Linked DNA regions of Struthio camelus. The protein of the gene in region 2 purifies or fractionates together with the protein of the main gene of each other region. This does not show direct contact. Links are inferred from orthologs where the notes say so. Each region holds a gene or a part of one and is shown on either strand. Other genes may lie near its edges.

The links.
Region 1: the proteins of GET3 (region 2) and UBL4A purify together in Homo sapiens (affinity purification with mass spectrometry; 4 studies listed by BioGRID and IntAct, with this or other methods). This does not show direct contact. The link is inferred for Struthio camelus from reciprocal best matches to the Homo sapiens genes GET3 and UBL4A.

The regions. Positions count from the first base shown.
Region 1 is NC_090979.1:61,213-71,082, forward strand, and holds the start of UBL4A (ubiquitin-like protein 4A), read right to left. Parts: upstream 4,751-9,870; 5' UTR 4,626-4,750; coding exon 4,578-4,625; intron 2,535-4,577; coding exon 2,429-2,534; intron 2,353-2,428; coding exon 2,135-2,352; intron 1,288-2,134; coding exon 1,159-1,287; 3' UTR 1,076-1,158; intron 1-1,075. Other genes in the region: EKC/KEOPS complex subunit LAGE3, read left to right, coding at 4,876-4,907, 5,751-5,879, 6,495-6,609; PLXNA3 (plexin-A3), read right to left, coding at 7,090-7,185, 8,269-8,419. UniProt on the Homo sapiens protein: As part of a cytosolic protein quality control complex, the BAG6/BAT3 complex, maintains misfolded and hydrophobic patches-containing proteins in a soluble state and participates in their proper delivery to the endoplasmic reticulum or alternatively can promote their sorting to the proteasome where they undergo degradation.
Region 2 is NC_090972.1:4,313,697-4,323,701, reverse strand, and holds the start of GET3 (ATPase GET3), read left to right. Parts: upstream 1-5,964; 5' UTR 5,965-6,231; coding exon 6,232-6,392; intron 6,393-7,244; coding exon 7,245-7,392; intron 7,393-7,497; coding exon 7,498-7,646; intron 7,647-7,760; coding exon 7,761-7,911; intron 7,912-8,312; coding exon 8,313-8,420; intron 8,421-9,545; coding exon 9,546-9,743; intron 9,744-10,005. Other genes in the region: RING finger protein 11, read left to right, coding at 536-705, 968-1,139; TRIR (telomerase RNA component interacting RNase), read right to left, coding at 3,542-3,649, 4,058-4,135, 5,271-5,522.

The DNA.
Region 1 (9,870 bases), on a different chromosome or scaffold from region 2:
GGCGGCGCACTGGGAGGACTGGCGGGACTGGAGGGGGGGACACGAGCAGGATGTGGGGGGCAACAGGAGACCTGGGTCTATTAGGGGCACCGGGAAGACTGGGGGGCACTGAGGGCTGGGAGGGTTAGGGGACAGCGGGAAAACTGGCTGTGCTGGGGCCACTGGGAGCACTGGGGGGGCACTGGGAGCACTGGGGGGGCAATGGGAGGACTGGGGGGGCCACTGGGAGCACTGGGGGGGCACTGGGAGCACTGGGGGGGCAATGGGAGGACTGGGGGGGCAATGGGAGGACTTGAGGGGCCACTGGGAGCACTGGGGGGGCACTGGGAGCACTGGGGGGGCAATGGGAGGACTTGAGGGGCCACTGGGAGCACTGGGGGGGCACTGGGAGCACTGGGGGGGCAATGGGAGGACTTGAGGGGCCACTGGGAGGACTGGGGGGGCACTGGGAGGACTTGAGGGGCCACTGGGAGGACTGGGGGGGCTGGGAGGACTTGAGGGGACACTGGGAGGACTGGGGGGCACTGGGAGCACTGGGGGGCACTGGGAAGACTTGAGGGGACACTAGGAGGACTGGGGGGCACTGGGAAGACTTGAGGGGACACTGGGAGCACTGGGGGGGGCTGGGAGGACTGGGGGGCCACTGGGAGGACTGCGGGGCACTGGGAGCACTGGGGGGGCTGGGAGGACTTGAGGGGACACTAGGAGGACTGGGGGGCACTGGGAGGACTGGGGGGCACTGGGAAGACTTGAGGGGACACTAGGAGGACTGGGGGGCACTGGGAGGACTGGGGGGCACTGGGAAGACTTGAGGGGACACTGGGAGCACTGGGGGGGGCTGGGAGGACTGAGGGGCCACTGGGAGGACTGGGGGGCACTGGGAGCACTGGGGGGGCTGGGAGGACTTGAGGGGCCACTGGGAGGACTGGGGGGCACTGAGAGCACTGGCTGCACTGGGAGCACTGGGGGGGCACTGGGAGCACTGGCTGCACTGGGAACACTGGGGGGGCACTGGGGGGGCACTGGGAGCACTGGGAGACACTGGAAGAACGTGGCCGGGGGGGGCAGCACGCACCGGGAGAAGCGGGCGGACAGCAGCGAGACGCCGAGAGAACTGGTTATACTGGGAACCACCGAACGAGCAGGGGGACGCGGGGGTCAGGGGGCGCTGGGGCAGCGGGGGGGCTCCGGGGGGGGCGGCGGGGGGGGCCCCTCGGGCTGCAGCAGCCGGGCGGCCAGGCGCTCCACGTCGTCCAGGCTCAGCGCCCGCAGGCTCTGCTCGTAGTCCTGGCGGGGAAGGGGGGGGCGGGGGGGGCGGCGGCTGTGACCCCCCCCGGTCCCACACCGGAGCCCCCGGGTGCCCGCATGCTGGGGGTCCGCACCCCCGGGCCCCCCGGCTCGCCTCTGCCCCCCCGCGTCCGTGTCCCCCCCCCACGTCCGTGTCCCCCCTGTGTCCGTGTCCCCCCCCCTGTCCGTGTCCCCCCCGTGTCCCTGTCCCCCCCGTCCGTGTCCCCCCCGGTCCGTGTCCCCCCCGTGTCCCTGTCCCCCCCGGTCCGTGTCCCCCCCGGTCCGTGTCCCCCCCGTGTCCCTGTCCCCCCCGGTCCGTGTCCCCCCCCGTCCGTGTCCCCCCCGTGTCCCTGTCCCCCCCGGTCCGTGTCCCCCCCCGGTCCGTGTCCCCCCCCGTCCGTGTCCCCCCCGTGTCCCTGTCCCCCCCGGTCCGTGTCCCCCCCCGGTCCGTGTCCCCCCCGTGTCCCTGTCCCCCCCGGTCCGTGTCCCCCCCCGTCCGTGTCCCCCCCGTGTCCCTGTCCCCCCCGGTCCGTGTCCCCCCCCGGTCCGTGTCCCCCCCGGTCCGTGTCCCCCCCGTGTCCCTGTCCCCCCCGGTCCGTGTCCCCCCCCGTCCGTGTCCCCCCCGTGTCCCTGTCCCCCCGTGTCCGTGCCCGCCCCGTGCCTCCCCCGTCCGTGTCCCCCCCCCGTCCGTGTCCCCCCCCCGTCCGTGTCCCCCCCCGTGTTCCCCCCACGTCCGTGTCCCCCCCGTGTCCCTGTCCCCCCCCGGTCCGTGTCCCTCCCCGTGTTCCCCCCACGTCCGTGCCCCCCCCCATGTCCCTGTCCCCCCCGGTCCGTGCCCCCCCCCCACCTTGTGCAGCTGCTCCAGGACGCGGGCGGCGTCGGCGGCCCCGAAGTGTCGCCCCAGCACCCGGCCCAGCTGGGCCCAGATGGCGGGGAAGGGGGGCGCCGGGGGGGGCGCCGCGCCCCGGCCCCCCTCCTCGCCCCCCCCGGCCCGCTCCGGCGGCTTCAGCACCAGGTTCAGCCGGGCTTCGGGCCCGATGGCGTAGTCCGACAGGCGCAGCTCGTCTGGGGGGGGACAGGCACAGGCGGCACAGCGCGGTGACACCCCCGGCCCCCCCGGCCCCCCCGGCCCGGCACCCACCGGCCAGGGCCTTGCCGCGGTAGAGCAGGCGCTGCTGGGCCACGGGGACGTCGAGCTGCTCGGCCACCAGGCGCTTCAGGGCGCCCACCCGCTCCTCGGGGGACACCTGGGGGGGGCACCGTGCTGAGCTGCCCCCCCCGCCGCCGCCGCCGCCCCCCAACCTGCCCCGCGCCCAGGCCTGGAGCCCCCTGCCCAACCAGCCCTTTCCCCCTGAGCCCCCCCAGACCTGCCCCCCTCTAGCAAGGGGGGGGATGAACCCCCTAAATCGTCCCCCACCCCTGCAAGGGGGGTCACTGAGCCCCCCCAAGCCAGCCCTCCCGTGCAAGGGGAGCCCCTAGCCCCCCCCAAACCAGCCCCCCCTGCAAGGGGGGTCACTGAGCCCCCCCAAACCAGCCCCCCCTTCCAAGGGGAGCCCCCGAGCCCCCCCCAAACCAGCCCCCCCTGCAAGGGGGGTCACTGAGCCCCCCCAAACCAGCCCCCCCTTGCAAAGGGAGCCCCTGAGCCCCCCCAAACCAGCCCCCCCTTGCAAAGGGAGCCCCTAGCCCCCCCAAACCAGCCCCCCCTGCAAGGGGGGTCACTGAGCCCCCCCAAACCAGCCCCCCCCTTGCAAAGGGAGCCCCTGAGCCCCCCCAAACCAGCCCCCCCTTGCAAAGGGAGCCCCTAGCCCCCCCAAACCAGCCCCCCCCTGCAAAGGGAGCCCCTAGCCCCCCCCAAACCAGCCCCCCCTGCAAGGGGGGTCACTGAGCCCCCCCCAAACCAGCCCCCCCTTGCAAAGGGAGCCCCTAGCCCCCCCAAACCAGCCCCCCCCTTGCAAAGGGAGCCCCCGAGCCCCCTAGCCCCCCCCAAACCAGCCCCCCCTGCAAGGGGGGTCACTGAGCCCCCCCAAAACCAGCCCCCCCTTGCAAAGGGAGCCCCTAGCCCCCCCCAAACCAGCCTCCCCTGCAAGGGGGGGGTCACTGAGCCCCCCCCAAACCAGCCCCCCCTTGCAAAGGGAGCCCCTAGCCCCCCCAAACCAGCCCCCCCTGCAAGGGGGGTCACTGAGCCCCCCCAAGCCAGCCCTCCTGTGCAAGGGGAGCCCCTAGCCCCCCCAAACCAGCCCCCCCTTGCAAAGGGAACCCCTGAGCCCCCGAGCCCCCCCCCAAACCAGCCCCCCCTGCAAGGGGGGTCACTGAGCCCCCCCCAAACCAGCCCCCCCTTGCAAAGGGAGCCCCTAGCCCCCCCAAACCAGCCCCCCCCTTGCAAAGGGAGCCCCCGAGCCCCCCCCCAAACCAGCCCCCCCTTGCAAAGGGAGCCCCTAGCCCCCCCAAACCAGCCCCCCCCTTGCAAAGGGAGCCCCTAGCCCCCCCCAAACCAGCCCCCCCTGCAAGGGGGGTCACTGAGCCCCCCCCAAACCAGCCCCCCCTTGCAAAGGGAGCCCCTAGCCCCCCCCAAACCAGCCTCCCCTGCAAGGGGGGGGTCACTGAGCCCCCCCCAAACCAGCCCCCCCTTGCAAAGGGAGCCCCTAGCCCCCCCAAACCAGCCCCCCCTGCAAGGGGGGTCACTGAGCCCCCCCAAGCCAGCCCTCCTGTGCAAGGGGAGCCCCTAGCCCCCCCCAAACCAGCCCCCCCTGCAAGGGGGGTCACTGAGCCCCCCCAAACCAGCCCCCCCTTGCAAAGGGAGCCCCTAGCCCCCCCAAACCAGCCCCCCCTTGCAAAGGGAACCCCTGAGCCCCCGAGCCCCCCCCCAAACCAGCCCCCCCTGCAAGGGGGGTCACTGAGCCCCCCCAAACCAGCCCCCCCTTGCAAAGGGAGCCCCTAGCCCCCCCCAAACCAGCCCCCCCCAAGGGGAGTCACTGACCCCCCCAAACCACCCCCCCCAGCAATAGGGGAGTCCCTCAACCCCCCCCCAGCAAGGGGGGACCCCCTGAGCCCCCCAAACTAGCCCCCCAGTAAGGGGGGGAGCCCTTACCCAGACCCCCCCCGGCCCCCCCGGCCGAGGCCGCCCCCCCGCCAGCCCCATCGCTCCGCTTTCTCCCCTCTTGTGACCCCCGCCGGGCCCCGTACCCCGCCCCCGCCGCTCCCCATGGCCCGCCCCAGCACCCGTACCTCCCCCCTCCCCCGGCGCCGTCCCCTGCGTGACCCTCCGAGGCCGCCGTCCGTCCCCCCGGTACCTGGAGGCTGCACTCCCGCCCCTGCAGCGCCTTCACCGTGAGCAGCATGGCGGGAGCGGGAGCGCCGCCGCCGCGGGGGCCGCGGGCCCTTTAACGGCCACCAGCGAGCGCCGCGGCTAGAGCGCCTCGCCGCGCGGCCACCGTAGCGCCGCCCCCTAACGGCCCCGCCTGGAGGACCGGCTGGCCAGAGCGGCCCACTCGCTCCCTTCCCCGCCCCCTCCCGCCCATCGAGGCGGGGCCAGAGCGGCGCCGGGCGGAGGGGGAGGCGGGGCCTGTGACGTCGCCAGCGGTCGGCGCGATGGCGGCGGAGGCGCGAGACGGGCTGGAGTTGTATCCTGGCCCGGGGCGGGGGGCGCTGGGGGTCCGGGGGGCACCGGGGGGGCTGGGAGCCGAGGAGGGGGCGCTGAAGGGGCTCTGAGGGGTTATGGGGGGGCTGGGAGGGAGCTGGGGGGCTGGAGAGAAAATGGAGGAGCCCTGGGGGCGCTGGGGGGGGATTGGGTGTCCCAGAGAGGGATCAGGGTGGCTAGAGGGGGAGTTGTGGGGCTGGGAGGGGCCTGGGGGGCTTAAAGAGGGACAGGGGCAGCAGTGGGGTGGGCAGAGGGGGCAGTGGAGGGCTGGGGGGGTCAGGGGGCTTTGGAGGGGCTCTGAGGGGTTATGGGGGTCCGGGGGGGGCTGGGAGGGAATTGGGGGGCTGGAGAAGCAGAGGGGGCACTGGGGGAGGGACTGGGGGGGCAGAGGGAGGCATTGGGGTGCCTAGAGGGGGAACTGGGGGGGCCAAAGGAGGGAACTGGGAGGTACTGGGGGGGGCCTAGAGGGGGGCACTGGGGAGCAGGCTGGGCGGCCTTGGAAGGGAACTGAGGGGTCACGGGGGGGGAGTTGGGGGCCCAGGGGAGGTTTAGGGTGCCTGGGGGGGGAATTGGGAGCCCAGGGAGGGAACTGGGAGATACTGGGGGGCCTCTGGGGATCAGAGAGCTTAAGGGCGTATGGGGAGGGGCTGAGAGGGGGTTTGGGGGGTCTGAAGGGAGAATTGGGGGGGGCAGCGAGGAGAGCGATGGGGTTTGGGGGGGGGCTGTAGGGAGGGAAGTGGGGGGAATCGTGGGCCGGGGAGGGAGGTTTAGCGGTGGAATTGGGGGGGGCCCCGGGGGGGGCGCGGGGCGCTTCCTTAGCGGCCAGCCGGCTGAGCGTGCCCTTCCCGTCGGCGCTGGAGGCGCAGATCGCCCACGGCTCCCTGGCCCCCGACGCCCAGCCCCGCCGGGGGGGCGTCCGCCGGGACCTGGCCCTGGACGGCCCCCACCTGCAGGCGTGAGCGGGGGGCGCCGGGGGCGATTTGGGGCACGGCGGGGTGGGGGGCAGGAATGGGAAAAGAGTGGGGGGTCCATGGGGGCAGTTTGGGGGCAGGAGGGGGCGCTGGGGGCAGGAGGGGGTGCAGGGGGCAGGATGGGGGAGTCATGGGGCAGTTTGGGGGCAGCAGGGGGGTCATTGGGCCAGTTTGGGGAGGGGGTGGAAGGTGAGGAGGGGGTGCAGGGGGCAGGATGGGGGGTCATGGGGCAGTTTGGGGGCAGGAGGGGTGCAGGGGGCAGGATGGGGGGTGCAGGGGACAGTTTGGGGGCAGGAGGGGGCGCTGGGGGCAGGATGGGGGGTCATGGGGCAGGATGGGGGGGTCATGGGGGCAGTTTGGGGGCAGGAGGGGGCAGTGGGGGCAGGATGGGGGGTCATGGGGGCAGTTTGGGGGCAGGAGGGGGCAGTGGGGGCAGGATGGGGGGTCATGGGGGCAGTTTGGGGGCAGGAGGAGGTGCAGGGGGCAGGATGGGGGGGTCATGGGGCAGGATGGGGGTCGTGGGGCAGGAGGGGGCGCTGGGGGGGTTCGGGGCAGGTTGGGGCTGTGGGGGGCCGCGGCAGCTCCCCCCCCCCCCGCAGGCGGTGGTGGGCCCCGGAGGCGCGGAGCCTGCGCGTGGCCGTCGGCTCCTTCCTGGAGCACCTGGAGCTGGTGGTGGAGACCATGGAGCGCTTCGGGCCCCCCCGGCCCCGCTAGCCGGCACCCCCAACGGGGACCCCCCCGGACTGGGGACCCCCCCGGACTGAGACCCCCCCGGACTGAGACCCCCCCCAACGGGGACCCCCCCGGACTGGGGACCCCCCCGGACTGAGACCCCCCCCAACGGGGACCCCCCCGGACTGGGGACCCCCCCCCCAAAATGGGACACCCCCCCCCAGGCTGGGGCTCGGCGGGGAGGACCCTGAGCGATTGGGGGTTTCCCCCCAAACTGGGGCCCCCCCAGTGAGACCCCCCCGGACCTGCCCCCCCCCCACCCCAAGCTGCCGGGGGGGGGGGGTCGTGCCGCGAAATAAAGCCCGCGGGAGGCTGCTGTGTTTTTGGGGGAGGGGAGCACTTTAATGCGCGACACCAAGTTAACGAACATGGGGGGGGGGGCACAGACACAATAAATAAGGCACCGCGCCCGGGGGGGGGGGGGCGGGCGGGGCCGGGGGGGGTCCCGGCCCCCGGGGGGGGTCAGGCCGGGGGCCCGAGCAGGGCCAGGACCTGCTCCAGGCGCTGCCGCAGCCGCTGCTGCCGGCACCCGGCGTCGCGCTCCAGCGCCGCCAGCACCTGCGGGGGGGGGGGGGGTCACACCACTGCGGGGGGGGGGGTGACCCGCTACTGGAGTGTACCATTACGGGGGGGGGAAGTAGTTGCTACCAGACCATCCCATTATCTGTGGGGGGGGGACACTAGAACATACTAGTTTGGGGGGGGGGAGGTGCTCCCGGACCATACCACTATCGGGGTGTTTTTCAGCTGGGGGGGGTGAGGGCCCTCGACCATTCCGTTGTTGGAGGATAATCTGCTACTGGACCATGCCATTATCAGTGAGGGGGTGGACTGGAACATACCATTATTTTGGGGTGGGGGGGGGCTGCTATTGGGCCATGCCATTATCAGCTGGGGGGGGCCTGAACGTACTATTTGGGGGGGGGGGGCTGTTATTGGGCGGTGCCACTATCAGCTGGGGGGGGCTGGAGTGTACCAGTGAAAGGACAGGGAGCTAGTGGAGCATACCATTATCAGCTGGGGAGGTGTGCAGACTGGACTCTACTATTTTGGAGGAATGGGCCCATTGGGCCATACCATTACTATGGAGCAGGGGAATCATCGATCGGGTCCCACCATTACTGTTTTGCCCACTGGACTATACCATTAATTGGGGGGGGAACTTTCCCTTGACTCCCTCATCTCTTTGATTGGGGGGGGGGTCTACTGGGCAGTACCATTCTGCAAAACCTTGGGGGGGGGAAAAAAACCCCACTGGACCATACCATGATAGGGGAACTTAATGGATTGTACCATTGTACCATTAAAGGGGGTTCCTACTGGATTCTATCATTATTTGTAATGGGGGGGGTCCATTGGTGCATACCATTATTATTTGGGGAGGGGGCACTACTCGACTGCTGTTATCATGGCTATTATCATGGGGGGGGGAACCAATGGACCGAACTATTATTGGGGGGTAACCTCCCAATGGATCATACCATTATTGGGGGGAATCTACTGGATTGTACCAATATTTGTAATGGGGGGGGGTCCCACTGGCCTGTACCATTTCAGGGGGGGAATGAATGGTAAGCCTCAGTTACTGCAGCTCTGGTGGGGGGGGACTGGGCTGTACTGGGGGTTACTGGGAGGACCCACCTCATCGCGGTAGCGCCCCACGTACTGGTAGAGCCCCCCCAGAGCCCCCAGCGTGTCGAACTCGCCAGCGTGGAGCCGCGACTGCTCGGCCAGGAAGGCGTCCATCTCCCCCTCGCTGATGGGCGCCAGCCGCCCCACGGCCCGGTAGTACCTGGGGGCGCCCCACAGCTCCTGGGGGGCAGCCGGGACCCCCCCCCCAAACCCTTCCAAGCCTGCCAACTCCTGGAGGGCTGTGGGCACCCCAAATCCCCCCCCCCCAACCACCCGTGGGTGAGGAGGGACTCAGGAGGGCCAGCAGTGCCATGTGCCCCCCAGCAATGTCCCTGATGTCCCCCCGTCCCATGTCCCCACCTCTTGATCCAGGCATGGTGGGTGCACAGGTCCCATGCCCCCCTCCATGTCCCCAGTGCCCCCCCCCCCCCGGATGTGACAGGCAGGCAGCCCTGTGCTCCCCTGTCCTCCCAATGTCCCCACGTCCCCACCTCTCGACCCAGGCGCACTAGGCGGGCAGGCCCAGGTCCCCGCGGTGTCCCCAATGTGTCCCCATGTCCCCACCTCTCGACCCAGGCGCACTAGGCGGGCAGGCCCAGGTCCCCGCAGTGTCCCCGCAGTGTCCCCACGTCCCCACCTCTCGACCCAGGCGCACTAGGCGGGCAGGCCCAGGTCCCCGCAGTGTCCCCAGTGTGTCCCCACGTCCCCACCTCTCGACCCAGGCGCACTAGGCGGGCAGGCCCAGGTCCCCGCGGTGTCCCCAATGTGTCCCCACGTCCCCACCTCTCGACCCAGGCGCGGTAGGCGGGCAGGCCCAGGTCCCCGCAGTGTCCCCAGTGTGTCCCCACGTCCCCACCTCTCGACCCAGGCGCACTAGGCGGGCAGGCCCAGGTCCCCGCAGTGTCCCCAGTGTGTCCCCATGTCCCCACCTCTCGACCCAGGCGCACTAGGCGGGCAGGCCCAGGTCCCCGCAGTGTCCCCAGTGTGTCCCCACGTCCCCACCTCTCGACCCAGGCGCACTAGGCGGGCAGGCCCAGGCCCCCGCAGTGTCCCCAGTGTGTCCCCACGTCCCCACCTCTCGACCCAGGCGCACTAGGCGGGCAGGCCCAGGTCCCCGCAGTGTCCCCAATGTGTCCCCACGTCCCCACCTCTCGACCCAGGCGCACTAGGCGGGCAGGCCCAGGCCCCCGCGGTGTCCCCAGTGTGTCCCCATGTCCCCACCTCTCGACCCAGGCGCACTAGGCGGGCAGGCCCAGGTCCCCGCAGTGTCCCCAATGTGTCCCCACGTCCCCACCTCTCGACCCAGGCGCACTAGGCGGGCAGGCCCAGGCCCCCGCGGTGTCCCCAGTGTGTCCCCATGTCCCCACCTCTCGACCCAGGCGCACTAGGCGGGCAGGCCCAGGTCCCCGCAGTGTCCCCAATGTGTCCCCACGTCCCCACCTCTCGACCCAGGCGCACTAGGCGGGCAGGCCCAGGCCCCCGCGGTGTCCCCAGTGTGTCCCCATGTCCCCACCTCTCGACCCAGGCGCACTAGGCGGGCAGGCCCAGGTCCCCGCAGTGTCCCCGCAGTGTCCCCACGTCCCCACCTCTCGACCCAGGCGCGGGCAGCAG
Region 2 (10,005 bases):
GTCGGAGTTGCCTCGAGGATCTGGGAACACTAGGGAGGGAAATCAGGGTGCACTGGGGGTAACTGGGAGCACTGGGAGGGGGAACTTGGGGGATCAGGGAGCACTGGGGGTAACTGGGAGCACTGGGAAGGGGAAACTGGGGGACGTCAGAGTTGCCTCGAGGATCTGGGAGCACTAGGGAGGGAAATCAGGGTGCACTGGGGGTGACTGGGAGCACTGGGATGGTGAAACTGGGGGAATGGGGAGAAATTGGGAGCCCCGGAAGGAGGAACTGGGGGGATCAGGGTGCCCTGGGGGGGACTGGGAGCACTGGAGGGGGAAAAGGGAGGAGCAGGGAGGAACTAGGAGCACGGGGAGGGGGAACTGGGGGGCTCAGGGCGCCCTGGGAGCACTGGGAGCGGGCACTGTAGGAGGGAATTGGGTGCCCTGCCGAGGGTTGAGGGTCCCCCCAAGCCCCCCCCCCAGGAGCAGGGGGGAGGCAGGTTTGGGGGTCCGTCGGCGCTCCCCAAGGCCGGCGGTTGCCGTCGCCCCGCAGGAGCGCGAGCCGGTGCCCGTGTACCACCCCACGCCCAGCCAGCGCCGCTTGGCCACCCAGCTCACGGAGGACGAGCAGGTCCGCATCGCCCAGCGCATCGGCCTCATCCAGCACCTGCCCCGCGGCCTCTTCGACCCCGGCGCCGAGCCCTCCGAGAAGAAAACGAAGGAGTGAGTCCCCCCAAAACGCCGGCTGGGGCGGCGGGGTTCGAGCTCGGGGAACCCCCATCCCCTCCCGGAGGCTGTTCCTGCCTTTGCCATGCCCACCTCATCCCCGTTTCCGTTTCCCCGGGGATTTTAAGGGCAGGAGGGACGGCGGAGTGCCGATTTCTCAGCCTGCAGCCCCCCGAAAGGCTTGATCGCCGCCTCGGGGAGCTGCCGGCAGCGCCCAAAAGCCAGGTTTCACTTCCCTGCCTTTTCCGCCACCCCGCAGGTGCGTGATCTGCATGCTGGAGTTCACCTACGGAGACCCGGTGCGGTTCCTGCCCTGCCTGCACGTCTACCACGTGGCCTGCATCGACGACTGGCTCATGCGCTCCTTCACCTGCCCCTCCTGCATGGAGCCCGTCGACGCCGCCCTGCTCTCCTCCTACGAGACTAACTGAGCTGCCGCGGCGAGGCCGGGGCCGCGGAGGGGGCTCCTCGGGCTCCGGTTCTCCCCCTTTTTTTGCACGCTAAGAGGATGCACCAAAGACTCCGAGTTTCCCGGTGAAAGGCTGCCTCCTCCGGGCCTTTCGGGAAGAGTCGGCGCGGCTCCGAAGATGCCCTGCGTCACCCGGCCCCGTCTCGGCCTTTGGGAGCAGCCCTCGCTCCCGCCGGAGGAGCGGAGCAGCCCTCGGAGCCGGAGGCGGCCCGCAGAGAGGCCGGATCCCGGAGGGCTGGTTTCTTGGAGAGGAGCAGAAGCCCCTGCCCTGTTTTTAAGGAGTTGTTGCTCCTCTTTTTTTTTTTGCTTTAAATAGTCCTTTAGCAGCTGCTTTGATGGGTGCCTGGAGCTGGTGGCCGCTGTGCCTGATGCCAGAGCTGCGATTGAAAGCGGAGGAGCCCGGCATTCCCTGTAATTCGGAGCAATCCCACCGAGAACGATTTATCCGGGCTCCTGGGGATGCCGGATCCTCTCGGCTTGGGGAAAAGGAGGCCGCGCGGCCCTCGCTGCCCCACTTCTCCCCCTCCGTCAGCTACGGCTTCGTTTTAACGTTCCCGCCCGAGACATTCCCTTCCCCGGGTGTTTTATAGGAACGGAGCCGAGCCCGGTTCAGCGGCGGGTTTCAACACACCCACCGACAGGGTCGGAAGCGGGACCGGGCTCCATTTTCCGGCCCCGAGCGCCTCATCGGACTCTCCAGGACGTTCCTGAGAGCTGGTGGCCGGCCCAGGGGGGCTCCTACCGCCTCCGCATCCCCCTCCCTCCCCGTTTCGGGTCTCTCCCTCCTGCCCGGCTCGCTGGCCCGGGGCGGGGGCCGCCGGCGCCTCGCCGGCTTCGAGGCGCGGAAGTGCTCGGCCCGCCGCGATGCCGTCCCGCCCCGGCGCTGGGCGGGCAGCGGGAGGGGGGCGCGCGGCCCGTTTGGATGGAACGAATAAACCGTATGGCCTAGCTCCGCGTGTCCGGGTGCGGCAGGGTGGGGGGAAGCAGGGCTGGGGGGGGGGTACAGCGCATCCTGCTCCCCCTGCGGCTCCAAAGGAAAATTAAAAAAAAAAACAACAACAACAAAAGGAAGAGCCGCGGCCTGGCGTGAAATCCTTCCCCGGGAGGAAGGTGCAAGAGCAGCTGGGGAGGGTGAACAGACACAGCAAGACACCTCTGTTCGCAAGAGAATTTTTATTCAAAAAGGAAAAGAGCCAGAACGTTTAAACATTTGTGAAGGATTTTCAGAATAAAAGGGGCTGCAGGATCGGGGAAGCAGGGTCAGTCCGGGCTCCGGGCGACCTGTTCCACCTCCTCCGGCAGCTCTCCCTGCCGACCGGAAGGGACGCGGAGGCGCAGGCAGCGGCAACAGCTCTCATCCGCACCCTCCCGGAGCCGCCTGGGGGAGAAAAAAACAGGACAAGGGCACCCGGACGGAGGTAGAAACCTCGGCACAGGGCGGATTTAAAGCTCTTCTTGTTCCCTCCTGCCCGGTGAGCGATGCCGAGGGCGGGCAGCCCCCCCCGCCGCCTTCGCGAGTGGATATTGCCGAAGCCTCCGGTTATCCGAAAGCACCGAGTGACTTCGGGAGAGCCTGAGCCCCTGGGGGAAGGGGAAAAAATAAACAGCCGGAGCTCGCTGTAATGTCGCTGTTACCCCACGGAGGAACCTACATGGGAGGGAAAAAAGAAATCCCTCGGAGTACAGCGGTGAGGCCGGGCAACAAAGGCAGCGGGGAGGGCAAAAGCTCCACCGGGACGCAGCCCCCGCGCCAAGAACACCCAGGAAGCGGTTAGCGGCTTCGAAATATCCGAGGTCTTTAATGACTCAATGCAACAGCGGCGCCCTCGCCGACGAGTTTTTACCCTTCGCGACAGCCAGGCGGGAGCGTTTCTGTCCCGCCAGCTACGGTTTCTACTCGCGGAAACGGAGGCGGAACGGGAAGAGACCAAACCGGGCGGGAAATCTGGGCACGCGGCGGGAAGACAAGCGGCGAGGCAAAGCCACGGGAATCTCGGAGTTACCGACGCGGAAGCGAGCGGGGCGACGGGGGTGGCTCCGGCCGGCGGGCGGGCGCGCGGCCCCCACAGGCGCGTTCCCGCTACAAAGAGCTACGGCCAGTCCAGAGTCCTTATTTCCCAGCAGAACGAAAGAAGGGTTAAGTCAGTGAATAAGAGACTTGGCGATGTCCCCGCGTGCCCAGGTGCGCGTGTGACAGAGAGAAAGAGAGAGAGAGATATATATATATTTTTTTTACATATAAAAACACCTCGAACAAGCCGCTGGGAGCACTTGGTGGATGTCTGTGCGAGCCGCTAGCCTCCTCCGCTGTTTAAATAAGTATGTACAACAGGGAAACAGTCCGTGCGGGCACCGGGAGAGAGGCTATTTCACCAGGGGCCTGGTTTTGTCGTCGTCGCTGCACTGATGGGCTTTGTATTTTTTCACTTCTGCCATGTACTTGGCCCAGGCGTCTCCTTTACTTGTCAAAACCTGCAGAGGAGGGAGGGGAGGGAAAAAATAACAAAGGAAGAACAAACAACACCGGTGATAAGAGGCGAGTCTGGAAGAGGGGTTGTGGCAGGCAACGCCCCGCTCCCCCGAGGGGATTCGTGCTTGCAGGATCCTGGCAGTGAAGGAAACCCCCAAATTCGGACAAACGGGCTCCCCCGGGGCGCTCGCGATGGCCGCAAGCTGCAAACCGGCTCTGCCCACAGCGACGGGCAGCACCGCAGGAGGCAGCGAGGGGCCGGCAGCGCCCCTCGCCCCCGTTTTCCCGCTAGGCCTAGCCGCTCACCGAAAGAGCGAGGGGGCAGAAAAGCAGCTGCGGACCCAAAACCGCCCCCAGGGAGGAGGCAGGGAGCCCCCATGCCCCCCCCGTCCCGTCCCAGGGCTACCTACCTCCTCTTCGGTCTTTTGCTTCTTGGCTACCACTCCCGTCTTCAGGGCTAGCTTGTTCCCACCTCTCCGCCTGCCCACCTGGGTGAAGGGACAGAAGACTGCAACCGTTACCCGAGCCGCGGGCGCTGCGGGGACAACGCTGCCCACTATACAACGGAACAGGGAGGCCTTCCGTTAGATGGTCCGTCGCAGCGCCGCGGGCCGGCTCCTCCCGCCGCGGCCCCCGCGGGGAACCCGCTCGTCGCTAAACGGCCAGTTTAGCGGTTTCGGCGGCGGACCTGGCTCGCCGCGACGGCCGGCGCCCCGAGGGTAGCGGCCGGCTTTCTACGCCGCGACAGCGCTGGGAAGGAGCGGGAGCGGATCAGCGCGTCGGAGCTGCTGCGATTCCTCGACAGCAGGGGACTTTACTACGGCATCGAGGCGCTTTGGACGCGGTTTAACAAGGAGGCGAACGCAGGCGCTGCGGCGAGTGACCGCGGCCGAGGCGCCCCGGGCAGCGGAGGGCTACGCCAGCCGGCGGCTCGCCTCTGTTCGGCCTCCGCTGGTGCTGCTCCCAGGGGATTGGAAGCCGCCAAGCAGCAGGTCAGGGAGGGAGGGGACCGTTTGTCAAAGCCTGAAGCAGCCAAACCCTAAAATTCAGCCCATAGGGACGCGCCCCTTCCCGGCGCAGCCCAATCCAGGCACGCTCGGAGACGCGAACCCGCTCGGTTCGGCTCACGGGGGTCTCCTGGCACCCCGACCGCTGGCCGCAGGCTCCGGGGCGCCCCGGGACCGCACACAACAACGCGGCTCCCCAAAGGGCCGGCGAGCAACGGCCTCAGCGGACCTGAGCCCGGCTCCCGGCACGCTCTGCCGGTGAAACCGGGGCCGATACTCACGTCGGGGGAGCGGAATCGTCCGGTGAAGCTCTTCCGCCTACCTGAGCCCAGAGGGTGGCTGCCGTTAAGGGGAAAAAGCGCCCCCCACCCAGAGCGACCCCGGGCGTGAGCAGGGGGGAGAAGCAACGGCATCACCGGGGCCGGTGAGGAAAGGGGGGGTGGGGGAAGAGCGTGGGGAGCTGCCCTTCTGCAGGCTGAAACCACCCCGGAGAACCGGGGAGGAACCGGGCCCGGTGGGACGGCGGGTGCGAGGGGCCCGGGCAGAGCGGGGAGCGGCCCCCGCAGCGGGGGGAGCGGGGCGCGGGGCGGCGGCGGCCCCCCCCGGGGGTCCTTACGAAGCTGAGCGCGCCGCCGCCGCCGCTCCTCTTCTGGCCGTCGGCCGAGCGGTGCGGACCGGGCCCGGTACCGGCACCTCCGGGGGCCTCGGCGGCCGCCGCCGCCGCCGCCTCGCGTTCGCGCTGCTGCTCCTCCTCCATCTTGCGCTTGAAGAGCTCCAGGAAGCTCCCGTCGTTGGCGAAGACGTTCACGCCGCCGCCGGGGCCGGGCGGCGGCGACGGGGCCTCCCCGTCCTCGCCGTGGTCGGCCATCTTGTCCGCCGCGAACGCCGCGCCGCGGGGCACCACGGGAAACGCCCCGCGCCCGGCGATGACGCGCGCGCGGGGCACGACGGGAAGCTCCGCCGCCGCCCTCCTATAGGGGCCGCGGGGGGAGGGTGACGCGGAGGACGGCGGGAAACGCCCGCCGCTAGGCACGACGGGAGCCGCGCCGAGCTGACGGGGCAGGCGCGAGGGCGCTGTTGCCAGGCAACGGGCGGGCCGTGAGAGCCCCCCCCCCTCCCCGCGGCTGCTCGCGCCGGACTGTCAGGCTCGGGGCCAATCAGCGAGGAGGCGCGGCAGCTGCGGCCAATCGGCTGCCGGCGGAGGCGGAGCAAGAGGGGGTGGGCGGGCTCGAGGAGCCGCCCCGGGGAAGAGGTAGGACTTGCTCCAGCCAATCCCGCCCGGCGGGCGTGCGAGCTGGCCAATCAGCAGCGGAGGGGGGCGGGGCCGGGCTGTACCACCGCCGTGCGGGCCGCGGGGGAGGAGTGAAGAGCGGGGCCGCCATAACGGGGAAAGGCCTCTCCGGTGCGGCCGGGCGGCGGCGGCCGTGATCGTGGCTTCCCGCCGGAGCGGCTCCCTCCTGCCGGCGGCCCCGCGGCGGCGGCCGGTGCCATAACTCCCTTCTTTTCCTTTCTCCCCCCCCCCTGCGGCGGAGGCGAATGGTGCGGCCCGGCGCCGGGGCAGGCGGTGCGGTTCGAAGATGGCGGCGGCGGGGTCCGGGTGGGGGCCCGAAGCGGACGAGTTCGAGGACGCCCCCGACGTGGAGCCGCTGGAGCCGACGTTGGCCAACATCATCGAGCAGCGGAGCCTCAAGTGGATCTTCGTGGGGGGGAAGGGCGGCGTGGGCAAGACCACCTGCAGGTGGGGCCGGGGGGGGGGAACACCGGGCCGGGCTGGACCAACTCGGGTGGTGGGGGGGGGAACCGGACCGGACCATTTGGGAGGGGGGAACCGGACCGGACCAGCTCGGGGTGGTGGGGGGGAACCGGACCGGACCATTTGGGAGGGGGGACCGGACCGGACCATTTGGGAGGGGGGACCGGACCAGACCAGCTCGGGATGGGGGGGGAACCGGACCGGACCATTTGGGAGGGGGGACCCGGACCGGACCATTTGGGAGGGGGGACCGGACCGGACCAGCTCGGGGTGGTGGGGGGGAACCGGACCGGACCAGCTCGAGTGGGGGGGACTGGACCAGGCCGCACCACTGGGGATTGGAAGAGGGGGACCTGGCCAAGACCACTTCGGGGGGGGTAGGGGGACCCGGACTGGACCACCTCGGGGGGGGGGGACTGGATCAGGCCACTTCTGGGGGGGGGATTTGGACTAGACCACTTTGGAGGGGGTTAGGGGGGATCCAGACTGGACCACCTCGGGGGGGGGGACTGGATCAGACCACCTCAGAGTGGGGGGACGTGGACCAGACCACTTTGGGGGGGAATGGACTGGACCACCACTTGGGGGGGGACAACACCAGACCAGGCTGCACCATTGGGAGTGAAGGGGGGGGCTGGGCTGGACCACTTTGGGGTGTGGGGGGCAGGCTGGTCACCCTTGGGGGGGAGAAGGAGCCCCCCTATTGCTGAGGGGGGACAGTGGCATCATAGGGCCACCCTATGGGGCAGGACCGGGTGCCTGGAGGGGGTCCCGGTGGCAACAGCCCACCCCGGTGACACCGCGGCCCCCCTCCTCCCCACCTGCCCCCCCCCCCAGCTGCAGCCTGGCCGTGCAGCTCTCCAAGGTGCGCGAAAGCGTCCTCATCATCTCCACCGACCCCGCGCACAACATCTCCGACGCCTTCGACCAGAAGTTCTCCAAGGTCCCCACCAAAGTCAAGGGCTACGACAACCTCTTCGCCATGGTGAGTCCCCCGGCGGGCCCCGGCGTCCAGCCTTCCCCCCCGTGCCCCCCCCACCACCCTCCAGCCCCTCACCCAACCTTTCTCCCCCACCCCGGCCCCCGGCAGGAGATCGACCCCAGCCTGGGGGTGGCCGAGCTGCCCGACGAGTTCTTTGAGGAGGACAACATGCTGAGCATGGGCAAGAAGATGATGCAGGAGGCCATGAGCGCCTTCCCCGGCATCGACGAGGCCATGAGCTACGCCGAGGTGATGAGGTGAGCGGGGGGCCGGGGCGGTGCAGGGCCGATAGGGCCCGGGGACGGCCCCCTGCCATGGGGAACGGGGCGCCGGGGACCCGCCGTCCCCGCTGAGGCCCGGCGTCCTCGCAGGTTGGTGAAGGGCATGAACTTCTCGGTGGTGGTGTTCGACACGGCGCCCACCGGCCACACGCTGCGGCTCCTCAACTTCCCCACCATCGTGGAGCGGGGCCTGGGCCGCCTCATGCAGATCAAGAACCAGATCAGCCCCTTCATCTCCCAAGTGAGGATGAGGAGGGGCGGCTGCGGGGCGGCGCCGGGGAGCGGGGCTCGCACGGGTGGCGCCGGGGAGGGCCCTCGGGTGGCACGCGGGGGACGTCGGTGTGTGGCACCAGGGAGACCCCACGCGTGGCACGAGGGGGCTCTCACGCGCGGCACCCGAGGGGCCTCGGTGGTGGCACCAGGGGGGCCTTGCGGGTGGCACCGCGAGGACCCTTGGGGGTGGCCTCGGGGAGACCCCCCCCCCCCCGCGTGGCGGGAGGGGATTCGCACACGCGGCACCCGAGGGACCTCGTGGGCGGCGTGAGGGCGCTTGCAGGCGGCACGAGCGGGCTTAGACCTGCCGCGCGCAGGGGGGACCTCGCGGGTGGCACCGCGGGGACCTCGGGGTGGCCTCTCCCGCAGATGTGCAACATGCTGGGGCTGGGCGACATGAACGCCGACCAGCTGGCCTCCAAGCTGGAGGAGACGCTGCCCGTCATCCGCTCCGTCAGCGAGCAGTTCAAGGACCCGGTAAGGGCCCGCCGGCGCGGGCACGGGGGACGCCTCCGCTGGGGCGGGGGACACAGCACGGCCAGCCCACGGGGCTGGGGGACACCGGGGAGGCGCCAGGGAACGTGGCACTCCCATCCGGCGGGGGGAGAGGTGCCAGGGGACACTGAGGAGGTGCCGGGGGACACGATGCTTCTGTCCCCCGGGGCCGGGGGACGCCGGGGAGGTGCCGGGGGACACAATGCTTCTGTCCCATGGGGCCGGGGGACGCCGGGGAGGTGCCGGGGGACACGATGCTTCTGTCCCATGGGGCCGGGGGACACTGGGGAGGTGCCAGGGGACACTGGGGAGGTGGCAGGGGACATGACGCCCCCGCACCGCGGGGCTGGGGGACACCGGGGAGGTGCTGGGGGACACGATGCTGCTGTCCTACGGCGCCAGGGGACACCGGGGAGGTGCCAGGGGACACGACGCTCCCATCCGTGGGGCTGGCAGACACTGGGGGACACCGGGGAGGTGCCAGGGGACACGACGCTCCCATCCGTGGGGCTGGCAGACACCGGGGGACACTGGGGAGGTGCCAGGGGACACGATGCTGCTGTCCCACGGGGCCAGGGGACACCGGGGAGGTGCCGGGGGACACGATGCTGCTGTCCCCCGGGGCCAGGGGACGCCGGGGAGGTGCCGGGGGACACTGGGGAGGTGGCAGGGGACATGACGCCCCCGCACCGCGGGGCTGGGGGACACCAGGGAGGTGCTGGGGGACACGATGCTGCTGTCCTACGGCGCCAGGGGACACCGGGGAGGTGCCGGGGGACACGACGCTCCCGCGGCGCGGGGGCTGGGGGGACACTGGGGAGGTGCCAGGGGACACGACACTCCCATCCATGGGGCTGGCAGACACCGGGGGACACTGGGGAGGTGCCAGGGGACACGATGCTGCTGTCCCCCGGGGCCAGGGGACGCCGGGGAGGTGCCGGGGGACACGACGCTCCCGCGGCGCGGGGGCCGGGGGGACACCGGGGAGGCGGCAGCCGAGCCGGCCCCACCGATGCAAGCGCGTTGCTGCGGGGAACGCACCGCGGCGGCGGGGCCGGCCGGACGCCTGGGCCCCGCGGGGGCTGAGCGTCGCCGGCGGGCCGGCAGGAGCAGACGACGTTCATCTGCGTGTGCATCGCCGAGTTCCTGTCGCTCTACGAGACGGAGCGGCTCATCCAGGAGCTGGCCAAGTGCCGCATCGACACGCACAACATCGTGGTGAACCAGCTCGTCTTCCCTGACCCCCAGCGGCCCTGCAAGATGTGCGAGGCCCGGCACAAGATCCAGGCCAAGTACCTGGACCAGGTAGCGCCCGGACGCCTGGGCCCCCTGCTGGGGGGAGGAGGGGTTGGGGGGTGGGGGGGGAGCCCGGACGCCTGGGTCCCCTGGCCCAAAGATGGGAGAGGAGGGAGTCTGGGGGGGGGCAAAGTTTGAGGATCCCGGATGCCTGGGTCCCCTGCCTGAAAACGGGAGAGGAGGGAGTCTGGGGGGGGGGCAAAATTTGGGGGTCCTGGACACCTGGGCCCCCTGCTTGGGGGCGGGGGGGGGAGCCCGGACACCTGGGTCC